Linked DNA regions of Sus scrofa. Each later gene encodes a partner of the first gene's protein in a complex. Links are inferred from orthologs where the notes say so. Each region holds a gene or a part of one and is shown in the gene's direction. Other genes may lie near its edges.

Region 1 (3,285 bases):
CTGCTGAAGGCCCTTGGCGTCCGAGTTCCCAGCCTGAGTCTGGGAGGAGCTCAGCTTGGGGCGTCAGGCCCACGCGCACCTTCACTCAGGTGTGTGCGGGGGGGCCCGGGAGCCCCCTCTCCGAAATGAGTCAGGGGGCATCCACCTCGTGTGCGGAAGGAGCCCTCCAGGTCATTCCACCCTGCGCCCTTCCCTACAGGTTTCTTTCGATTCCACCAAACACCTGAGCGATGCCTCCATCAAGAAGCGGCAGCTGGAGCGGCAGAAACTTCAGGAGCTGGAGCAGCAGCGGGAGGAGCAGAAGCGCCGGGAGAAGGAGGCGGAGGAGAGGCAGAGGGCCGAGGAGAGGTAGGCGCTGGCCGGGTGAGCCGGACCCCTCTGCGTGGGCGGCGGCCTCCGCCCGGTTGCCTGGCCCCGGCCTCCCTCCGAGCCGCCCAGGGCTGAGCAGGGCTCCTGCAGAGACTGGCAGAGCCTTGGCTGCTTTGCAGGGGTTGTGTTTGGGCCGAAGCTGCCGTCCCAAAGAGCAGTAGAGGCCCTGCGGCACGGGCGGGCTCGAAGCAAGTGTCTTTCAGGGCCTTCGGGGGGACTGCGGTTCACAGGCAGCGTCAGGTCCCGTGTCTCCCTGGCCGGGCGGTGTATCTGGGTTGTAAACACGTCTGCCCAGCGAGACTCCCTGGGCTCCAGGAGATAAGGAACAGTCGTCCTTGTCCCGTCACGGCTGCTGTGCCCTGGGTGCTTCTTGGCGTGGGGGTGGGGGTGGGTGGGTGTCAAGGTGTCACGGGCAGGGCTTCTGTCTGGCCGATTTAGGACTTTTGTGGCCGATTCCTTCCCTATCAGCCTCTCCACTTACCTCTTGGCTGAGCCGACTTCACTCGCGGGGCTGTCAGCTTCCTGTTTGTTTTCCCTTCTCCCCGCCGGCAGGAACAGGTGCCGAGGTGTCCTTGCAGTTGGTGGGGAAACCAGGGTCAGGGTCCAGCCCGTGCTGCTGCTCCTGACGCAGCCGGTGGACGTCCCCAGGGGGTCGGCCTGCTGGCCGGGGAGGCTCCGGCCGGGGATCGGGAGCCCGCAGGGAGGCTGGCGTGGGGCCAGCCGAGGGTGTGCGTGCCGCGTGGCTGTCCTCCGGCGGTGGCGGCGGCGCTCACAGGGCTGTTTGCATCTCGACCTGGGCGAGGCTCAGGGACGTCCAGGCCCCCCAGCTCGGGTCCCCAACGGGCCTTGTCCTCGCGTCCCCAAGATGGCCCTTGATCGCAGGCCAGGAATCGCAGACGTTACCCCTCGGCGTTTCCGTCTCCTTCATCAGGGCGTCGTCGAGGTTCGGGTTGTGGCAGTTTGTGCTGTCGGCGTCGTGAGCCCGCCACACGCCCCACGGCGTTTCCAGAAGCAGCTCTGAGGTCCCGTTAAAGACACTTCCCTCGAGCTTGGTGGAGAAACGAGGGCAGGGAATTGGGCCGAGAGTGGTCTTTGAGGACAGAGGGTCAGATGGGTCCCCGAGGTGTGCTGAGGACACGGATTCACAGCTGGTGGCGTGGCCTCTGCTGCCGCCTGGGATGACACTGGCCGAGAGGTGGCAGGGCCGCGAGGCGGAGCCGGGCAGGCCTGGGGAGCCTCCGGGTCTGTCCTCTGTCACGGGTGAGGTGCTGGGTGTTCGGGCTCAGTCTGGATCCGCAGTCAGGCTCCTGGACTTGGCCTTTAGCCACAGTTTAGAGCCGTGGGCGCTCTGGGGCTCTTAGGGGACCCCTGGTGCCAGGGACCATCAGAGATGTGGCCTTCTGGCTGCTGTCACCCTCATTGCTTCCCACGTGAGCCTGGGCCGGCCTTTCCCTCTGTGTGGGGGCTTGGCTGGTTCCGGGGCTCCAGCACCCCTGGCAGCCGTGTGCCCCCATGGCCTCAGAGGGCTCCCCCAGGTGGCATCCTGCCCTGAGCAGCCGGGGGCTCTGCCCCTCCGCCCCCACCCCGCCCTGCAGGTTCCTGGAGAAGTCAAAAGCCCCAGCACTCGGGAGGCAGGCGTACAGTGTGACGCCCCTTGGTCTTCCACACCTTCCCTGGGGTCTCCAGCCATCCTGATGGCCTTCGATCCTCATCTGGGGGACCCCCCCCCAGAAAGGATGGTAGGGTCCAAGCCGGTGTGTGTGGTGTGTAAGCGTGTGGCACAGTCATTGCCTGCAGGTAGTGCCCGTGGTGACCTCGCAGGGTGTCCCCAGGTGGTGTGAGCTGTCCTGCTGTCAGGACCGCTCCCCCTTCTTTAGGGACGGGCCCCAGCAAAGCGGGTCGGGTGTCTGTTACCGTGGTCTGCCTGTTCTACAGCATCCCGCGGCAGGGTCGTGCCATTGGCTCCGTGCTGGCAGAGCCTTCCTGTGGGCACGGTCCCCGGTGGGAACATCTGGGGCAGGGGCGCCCCCGCCCCTGAAACTCGTTTGTGTCCTCTGCAGCCACTCCACTGGGCGGCTGGGCTGTGTGGGGCAGGCAGCGTGTCCTGTGCAGGTGCGGCCCACCAGCGGGGGTGGGCCTTGTTCCAAGCTGCATTTTCCAATGTCTTGTACCCCCTCCCCATGGAGTCCGGGCTGGGCTCGCACTTAGCCAGACTCTGCCCCGCAAGGCGATGGCCCCCGCCCCGCCCCCATGCGCCTCTGCGCTCCTTAACGTCCTTGGACTTGGACGTGGGGGTGAGACGCTGCGACGTCGTCTTTCCCGCGGCGTCCCCGCCGGCTCCGCTGAGGCCCTGGTGCCTGCGTCCCGCACAGGAAGCAGAAGGAGCTGGAGGAGCAGGAGCGGGAGCGGAAGCGGGAGGAGAAGCTGCGCCGGCGTGAGCAGAAGCAGAGAGACCGCGAGCTGCGGCGCAGCCAGAAGAAGCTGGAGAAGCTGCAGGCCGAGGAGCAGCGGAAGCTGCAGGAGAAGATCCGGCTGGAGGAGCGCAAGCTGCTGCTGGCCCAGCGCAACCTGCAGTCCATCCGGCTCATCGCGGAGCTGCTGAGCCGCGCCAAGGTACCTCCTCGGCGCTCCTGCGGGGCTCCCACCCCCGCTGGCTGCTGCAGCACAGCCTGGAGGCGGGAGGGAGCGGCGCCGCGTCCGCGGACCTGAGACCCATGCAGCCTCCGCCCTCTCTTCCTGCATCTGCTGCGTCCTGCATGCTCTCAGTCTCTGCGAGCGGAAGGTCTCCTCCAGTCTCCGCTAGGAGGCTGGGAGGGGCGGGGCCCGCAGAGCGACGCCCTCCCCGGGGCTCCTCCCACTCCGGCTTCAGCTAGGGCTCCGCCAGGTACCCCCGCGGGAGAACAGGCTGAGCCTGGT
Region 2 (3,401 bases), on another chromosome or scaffold:
CTGGCCTTGCTCAGTGGGTTAAGGATCTGGCGTTGCATGAGCTGTAGTGTAGGTCGAAGATGTGGCTTAGATCCCCCATTGCTGTGGCTGTGGTGTAGGCCGGCAGCTACAGCTCCGATTGGACCCCTAGCTTGGGAACCTCCATGTGCCATGGGTGCAGCCCTGAAAAGACAAAAGTGAAAAAAAATTGCCCTGCCAGTTACATAGATGCTTCCTGCTCTGTTTGCTTTCTGCAGGATGATCCCTTTCAGATGAAGACAGGTGGGATGGTGGACATGAAGAAACTAAAAGAAAGAGGCAAAGATAAGTAAGTGCAAGGCAGGCTGAGATGCAATTTCACCTGTAGCCTCTGCCTGGGTCTGTGTTATTCTAGGGCCTGCAGCATCTTTAATGGGACATCTTGAAGTACCGTTGTGCTTTGTAAACGCTCTGTTGTTTAAAAACAAAAGAAAACAAAAGCTCCAAAGGTTCACTTAGAGTAACATGGCTAGACACCTTTTGTAAAGGTGCATTGTTTATGGTCTCTCCAACTCATATGGAAGTTGTTTTTCTTTTAAAGAAAAACATTTGGGTTCCCTAGTGGCTCAGCAGGTTAAGGATCTGGTGTTGTCACTGCTGTGGCTTGGGTTTGATCCCTGGCCTGGGAAATTCTGCATGCCACAGGTGCAGTCAAAAAAAGAAAGAAAGAAAAAAACATAGAAACACAAGTACAAAAATAATACAAGCAATACGAAAGTGAAAAATAAACATATCTACCCATTCCGCTGAGGCATCTCCAGAGGCCCAGCGTTTGCTTGCGTGCATTTCTGGAGTTCCTCCTGTTTCTGTATTATGTGCTATGTATGTGTATGTGTTTTCTAACCTTAAGCAGGACGTTGTGCTTTTTGTCGCGTGCCTGTTTTACGCGTACCGTTCATTCCCGTCCAGCTCAGCCTCATTTAGCTGCGACTCTAAGGCTCGGCCTCACTTTTTGTAGGATCAGCGAAGAGGAGGATCTCCATCTGGGGACGTCGTTTTCCGCTGAAACCAACCGAAGGGATGAGGACGCCGACATGTAGGTGCCAGCAGGGAGGGAATGGGGGGTGGGCTCCAGCCAGATACCGTCCAAGATGTTTAGTCACTGGGGACACTTCTAGAATTATCCAGAGACAGCAGCGTTGCCCCCACCCCAGGCTTGAGAACTTTGAAGAACTCCGAAAAATTCTTTAAAAGTGTGGTTCTTGGAATTTTAGATTCCCTGAGTAGTAATAACCCCTCACCCCCCCATCAAAGTGCAGGGACAAACTTTGGACTTGCCCATTTCTTTATTTTGCCATCAAGGATGTTAAATAACTACCTACCGTCTGCCGTGTATCTTTTCCTCTTCAAAGAACCTTACGTATGTGGTGGGACAGAATCTCGTGATGTAAATTGGTGCTTTAAGTTGGAAATTTTTAGCTTGATTGAAAAACTCAAGTTATTTGGATTTTTCTTGCTTCTCCATGGAACGATGAAACTTCATCATTAACCATCCCTGCTCGGTGGGCCGGTGTCAGGGACACTAATTTAAAAGATGTGGAGTTCCCGTCGTGGCGCAAGAGAAATGAATCTGACTAGGAACCACGAGGTTGGGGGTTCGATCCCTGGCCTCGCTCAGTGGGTGAAGGATCCGGCGCTGCTTGAGCTGTGGTGTAGGTCACAGACACGGCTTGGATCTGGCGTTGCTGTAGTTGTGGTGTAGGCTGGCAGCTGTAGCTATGATTGGGCCCCTAGCCTGGAAACCTCCATATGCCGCGGGCGCAGCCCTAAAAAGACAAAAAAAAAAAAAAAAAAAGACACCAGTCGTGAGCTTTTCCACCCCTCCCTGAGGCCTGTGGGTTTCTCCTTTCAGGATGAAGTACATCGAGACAGAGCTAAAGAAGAGGAAAGGGATCGTGGAACACGAGGAACAGAAAGTCAAGCCGAAGAACGCGGAGGACTGCCTTTACGAGCTGCCGGAGAACATCCGGGTCTCCTCAGCGAAGAGGACGGAGGAGATGCTGTCCAACCAGATGCTGAGCGGCATCCCCGAGGTGGACCTCGGCATCGAGTGCGTTCCCGAGCCCGGCTCCGGCCTCTCTCCCCTCCCAGGCAGAAGGGCTCCCGTTGAAAGCTCGGGGGACTGTCTCTTCACCTGTCCCCTTGGAAACCCGCAGATATAAACCGCCTTCTCTCTGGCAGCCCGAGCTGGCTGTTGCCAGGCGTTTCTCTGAAGGGTCGGTCAGGGTAGTTAAAGAGACAGGGGACCCCGACTGCCGGAAGCAAAAGTGTTTGTTTTCATTTAGCCTTTGTTCACCGCTCTTCAGCGCCTCTGATCGGGTCCTCGTATTCTGTTTCATCCTAGCAGGAGCCACGACAAAGGCTCACCCACCGGTGATCCCCCTTTCATTTTTAGTGTAGAACATCTGCTCTAAAAGGGGGTTTCGTGGAGGAAATGCAGTGGTCAGAACCATCTTCGGGGGTGGTAGAAAGTTGGGAACTTCTGGCTTCTTGCCTCCCTTGTGGCCTTACCAGTGTTGAGCCTTAGGCAGATCACGTGACCTCTCTGGCCCAGCTTTCTCTCTATCAGCAGAGAGGAACTGCATCTCCGATGCCGCGAGAGCTCCATGAGAATGTGACTGCAGGGGGAGTTGGTAAACTGTAGAGTGCTGTGCCCCAAGGCAGGTGACATCCTCAGGCAGTGGAGGGCTGCCAGCCCCTCCAGAGAGTTCCATCTGAGGCCCAAAGGTTGGGACCATCTAATGGGGTGTGGCTCCTTTCTCCCCATAGCGCTAAAATCAAAAATATCATTTCCACGGAGGATGCCAAGGCCCGCCTGCTGGCAGAGCAGCAGAACAAGAAGAAGGACAGCGAGACATCCTTCGTGCCCACCAACATGGCAGTGAATTACGTGCAGCACAACCGATGTAAGCGTCTTTCGTCCCTGGGGAGGCAGCCCTGCCAGCGCCGTGGGGTCCCTGGGTTCCCAGAGTCTGCCTGACACATCCTCTGGTCTCTTTCGCTCCAGTTTACCACGAGGAGCTCAATGCTCCCATACGGAGAAACAAAGAAGAGCCCAAAGCCCGACCCTTGAGAGTGGGCGACACAGAGAAGCCAGAGCCCGAGCGTAAGTACAGCAGAGGCCTCCAGGTGCCTGGAGCAACCCTTGCCCCAGGCCGGCAGGGTCGGGGGCGGACTCTGAAGGGGCAGCGCAAGGGCTTCGGAGCCAGGGCCTCTGGGTTCTGGTCTGTGCTCTGGACCATGGCCTTGTGCCTTCCCTTTCCCAAGGCTCAGTTTCCTCACCTCTCCATGGGGATGGTGGAGTTGCCATTGTGGCTCAGCGATAACAAACCCGGCTCGTAACCATAAGGGTGTGGGTTTGATACCTGGCCTTGCTCAGTGGG
Region 3 (3,647 bases), on another chromosome or scaffold:
ACCCCAGCTACATTTTGCTTTGACTACTAATAACATAAATTTTCTGGAGTTCCCGTCGTGGCTCAGTGGTTAACGAACCCGACTAGGAACCCTGAGGTTGCGGGTTCTATCCCTGGCCTCGTTCAGTGGGTTAAGGACCCGGCGTTGCCATGAGCTGAGGTGTAGGTCGCAGGTGCGGCTCAGATCCTGTGTTGCTATGGCTGTAGTGTAGGCTGGCAGCTGTAGCTCCAGTTGGACCCCTAGCCTGGGAACCTCCATATGCTGCGGGTGTGGCCCTAAAAAGACAAATAAATAAATAAATATATTTAAAAAAATTTTTCTGTGAACACCAACTAATAAGATTTTCAGGTTTGTCAAAGGTAGTCCCAAAAATGCAACTGAGACTTACTGCATGGGGCCTTGAAGTGTGTTCATTTTGCCTGCATATAATTATAGCATAAAATATAAAGGATCTGCTTCCTGGGTTGATCATATTTTACTTCTTCCTCCCATCTCCAACACACACACATACACACATTACACATCACCCCAGTCTGCTTATAATAATGGTTTTCGAGAGCCTTGTCTCAGAAGTACTTACTTGCAAATTTATCTCATCTTTTCTCTCCATTTCATAATATGCAGAATGCAGACATGGACAAATATTCAGACTCTCCGGTGGGATTTTGGCTTCCCTTGCCATTGACATTGCACCTGTTTCTGCCAGCTTGCTTTCTTATCCTGGGGAAAACCCAAACATAATGGCCGCCAGGCCAGCAGTTCCTATGTTCCTTAGACTTTGGGCTAGAGAGGTCAGACCATAGCAATTCCTCTCTCCTGCCTTGGGGGCATGGCTCTTGCTGGGTTGGAGCCATTCCTTCTGGACCCAGAATGGATCCAAGCCTGTCTGGCAGCAGAGCGCAAGCAGTGGTATTTGTTATGTGGGGTAACAGCAGGTGTGAAGATGTGTAAGAAATCTGCTGAAGAGATTCAAGATTCAGTGAAGGAGTTTCCTTTTCATTGTGACCCATGACAAGGGATGCAAAGTGGACCCAGTGCCATTTCCATTTTAAAAAGCAAAACTGATGTGCTGGGAGGAGCTGCTCTCTCTTCTACAACTCAGGTTAGTTTTTTATTTTTTCCCTCTCTTACATTTCTGATTTGGTTATTCCCAGCACACGGCACTTTCTTGGGTCACATTCGGTTGGAACCTCACAAGCCTCAGCAAATTCCCATCGATTCCACGGTCTCATTTGGTGCATCCACAAGGGCATACACTCTACGAGAGAAGCCTCAGACATTGCCATCGGCTGTGAAAGGAGATGAGAAGATGGGTGGAGAGGATGATGAACTCAAGGGCTTACTGGGGCTTCCAGAGGAGGAAACAGAGCTTGATGTAATTCTCTTTCTATGTCATTGTCATGTCTTTTGGGACTCTGATTTTTGCAGTTTTTAGCTGTGGTGTGTAGCTTGAAATGCCAGTGAGTTAGCAGCTGGAGATTTTCTTGAGCCCAGTAACAGGCCTTTGCCACTTTGGCAGTGTGGTGTGGCTCTTGGAGAGCTGCATTGTGTGGGTTTGGCTGTGCATTACCAGGGCTAACTAGGAGACTGGATTTCCTGCCAGTAGACCCTCATGGTTGTCTATCGGATGTTAGAAGCCAAGGCTGGGAGTTACGTCTTTACAGAATTGCACTGGCCAGTGCAGTAGCCATTAACCACATTTTAAGTACTCAGTAGTCACTTGTAGCTAGTGACTAACCATATTGAATAGCACTAACAGTAAAACCTTTCCATCATCCAGAAAATTTGATTGGACAGCACTCGCTTACAGAGATTGAAACTTTCATTCATTTATGTAGCTCTTTTTTAAATTGTCAGCCCAAGAATCTCCTGAATAAAACTAGACTACTTTTGCTCTGGGCCTGGCTGCCATGAAGGCCATGAATTTTACAAGATTTAAATTTAATGTGCTAAGGTTTTCCTCTTCTAGGGCAGATCCTAGGAGTTGGTGATGTAGCTGTTGTCTTCACATATCTGTCACTGTATTGATGTGACTGGTTGTATCCAGGTAGATCAAATGTCAGCCTTTCTTTAACTGCCCATATGCATTTACTATCCTTGTACACCGAGGCAGTTTCACAGCCCTTTGGGAGAAAAGCACAATAGAAATCTTACAACTTAAAAGTTATTTTGTTCTAAGGGAGTTGCCTCATAGCCAGGGACCTTGTTAGCAATCACTCTTGTTCTTTCTCCTCTTTTAGTTCAGTATATTAGGTCATCTCTGGGTCCTTGTTCTCAAGACATTTGGAAAATCTCAAACTGCAGTGCAGATTGGATTAAGTCCAGGGGATTGGGAAGAGGCAGGCAGCAGTGCTGAGGCCAAGTTAATCATTGAGATGGATGGATAGTTATGAATAGAAATGGGGCCAGATGCAGTGATGGGAAGTGACAAGATATTAATGCCAAATATTCAGTGCCCTGGCAATGTCCTTACAAGTTTTAAAGGAGAGAACTACTGGGAAAGAAGCTATCAGTTGTCCCTTCTCATCTCTGTTTTTTCACTTAAAAACAATTCAGGGATTTCTTCTCAGTTGCATTCCTTTAATTCTCAGCATGAAGATATGATAACCTTTCTTCAAAAAAACCCAAAACTTCAGTTCCAGGGTTTTTGCACAGATGTCCTATTTTTAGCTCAAGGCCCTTCACCTCCTTTTGAATATCACTATCCCACTAGTCATTGCAGATGTTCCACATTCTGTCAAGTGAGGCTTGTTGGTATCAGAGTCTAGGGACAGGGATGAGTCTTTTCTGAGTGCTGAAGAGAATTTCAACTGCATGGAAAGGTCCAGGTTAGCTCCTGAGACCTTCCCGCTCTTTGTTTGGTAACAGTCTCCTTCAGATTCCCTTGTACTTATTCCTGTTTTTCCCCTGTGAACCCTGGCCCAGAACCTGACAGAGTTCAATACTGCCCACAACAAGCGTATTTCCACTCTCACCATTGAGGAGGGGAATCTGGACATTCAGAGACCAAAGAGGAAAAGGAAGAACTCACGGGTGACCTTCAGTGAGGATGATGAGATCATCAACCCAGGTGAGGAATCTTCATAGTTTTTTCTGATGCAAAAGCTGTGATCTAAAAAAAAAAAAAAAAAAATGCTGTGATCTTGGAGTTGCCGCATGGCACAGCGGGATTGGCTGTATCTCTGCAGCACCAGGACACATGTTTGATCCCTGGCCCAGCACAGTGGGTTAAAGGATCCAGCATCACCACAGCTGTGGCTCAGATCTGCTCCCTGGCCCAGGAACTCCATATGCCACGGGATGTCCAAAAAAAGAGGAAGAAAGAAAGCTATGATCTCAGCAGTGCACATAACTTGTAGGTCAGTTGTAATGTTTCACAACAAGGTTTAGGATTGCAGGTGCTATGTTGAGGGGAGATATTTTTGTACAGTGTAAACATACCTTGGAGATATGAGTTTGGTTTAAGACCACCACAGTAAAGTGAGTATTGCAAAGTGTAAAATATCATTCTATCTAAAAAGACAATGTATATGTCTTCATTAAAAAATGCTTTATTGCTAAAAAAATGCTAGCCATCATTTGCGCCTTCAGGGAGTCGTAATCTTTTTGCGGTAGTAACGACAAAGATCACTGATCACAGATGACTA

Evidence for each region.
Region 2: AKAP17A (region 1) and C1H9orf78 share a complex: the UniProt entries of both Homo sapiens proteins name them as parts of the spliceosome. The link is inferred for Sus scrofa from reciprocal best matches to the Homo sapiens genes AKAP17A and C9orf78.
Region 3: AKAP17A (region 1) and PPP1R8 share a complex: the UniProt entries of both Homo sapiens proteins name them as parts of the spliceosome. The link is inferred for Sus scrofa from reciprocal best matches to the Homo sapiens genes AKAP17A and PPP1R8.

The regions. Positions count from the first base shown.
Region 1 is NW_018084901.1:899,199-902,483, forward strand, and holds part of AKAP17A (A-kinase anchor protein 17A), read left to right. Parts: intron 1-199; coding exon 200-348; intron 349-2,741; coding exon 2,742-2,982; intron 2,983-3,285. UniProt on the Homo sapiens protein: Splice factor regulating alternative splice site selection for certain mRNA precursors. Mediates regulation of pre-mRNA splicing in a PKA-dependent manner.
Region 2 is NC_010443.5:269,989,077-269,992,477, reverse strand, and holds part of C1H9orf78 (uncharacterized protein C9orf78 homolog), read left to right. Parts: intron 1-236; coding exon 237-307; intron 308-976; coding exon 977-1,054; intron 1,055-1,870; coding exon 1,871-2,068; intron 2,069-2,787; coding exon 2,788-2,924; intron 2,925-3,025; coding exon 3,026-3,124; intron 3,125-3,401. UniProt on the Homo sapiens protein: Plays a role in pre-mRNA splicing by promoting usage of the upstream 3'-splice site at alternative NAGNAG splice sites; these are sites featuring alternative acceptor motifs separated by only a few nucleotides. May also modulate exon inclusion events.
Region 3 is NC_010448.4:84,976,663-84,980,309, forward strand, and holds part of PPP1R8 (nuclear inhibitor of protein phosphatase 1), read left to right. Parts: intron 1-1,154; coding exon 1,155-1,375; intron 1,376-2,925; coding exon 2,926-3,070; intron 3,071-3,647. UniProt on the Homo sapiens protein: Inhibitor subunit of the major nuclear protein phosphatase-1 (PP-1). It has RNA-binding activity but does not cleave RNA and may target PP-1 to RNA-associated substrates. May also be involved in pre-mRNA splicing.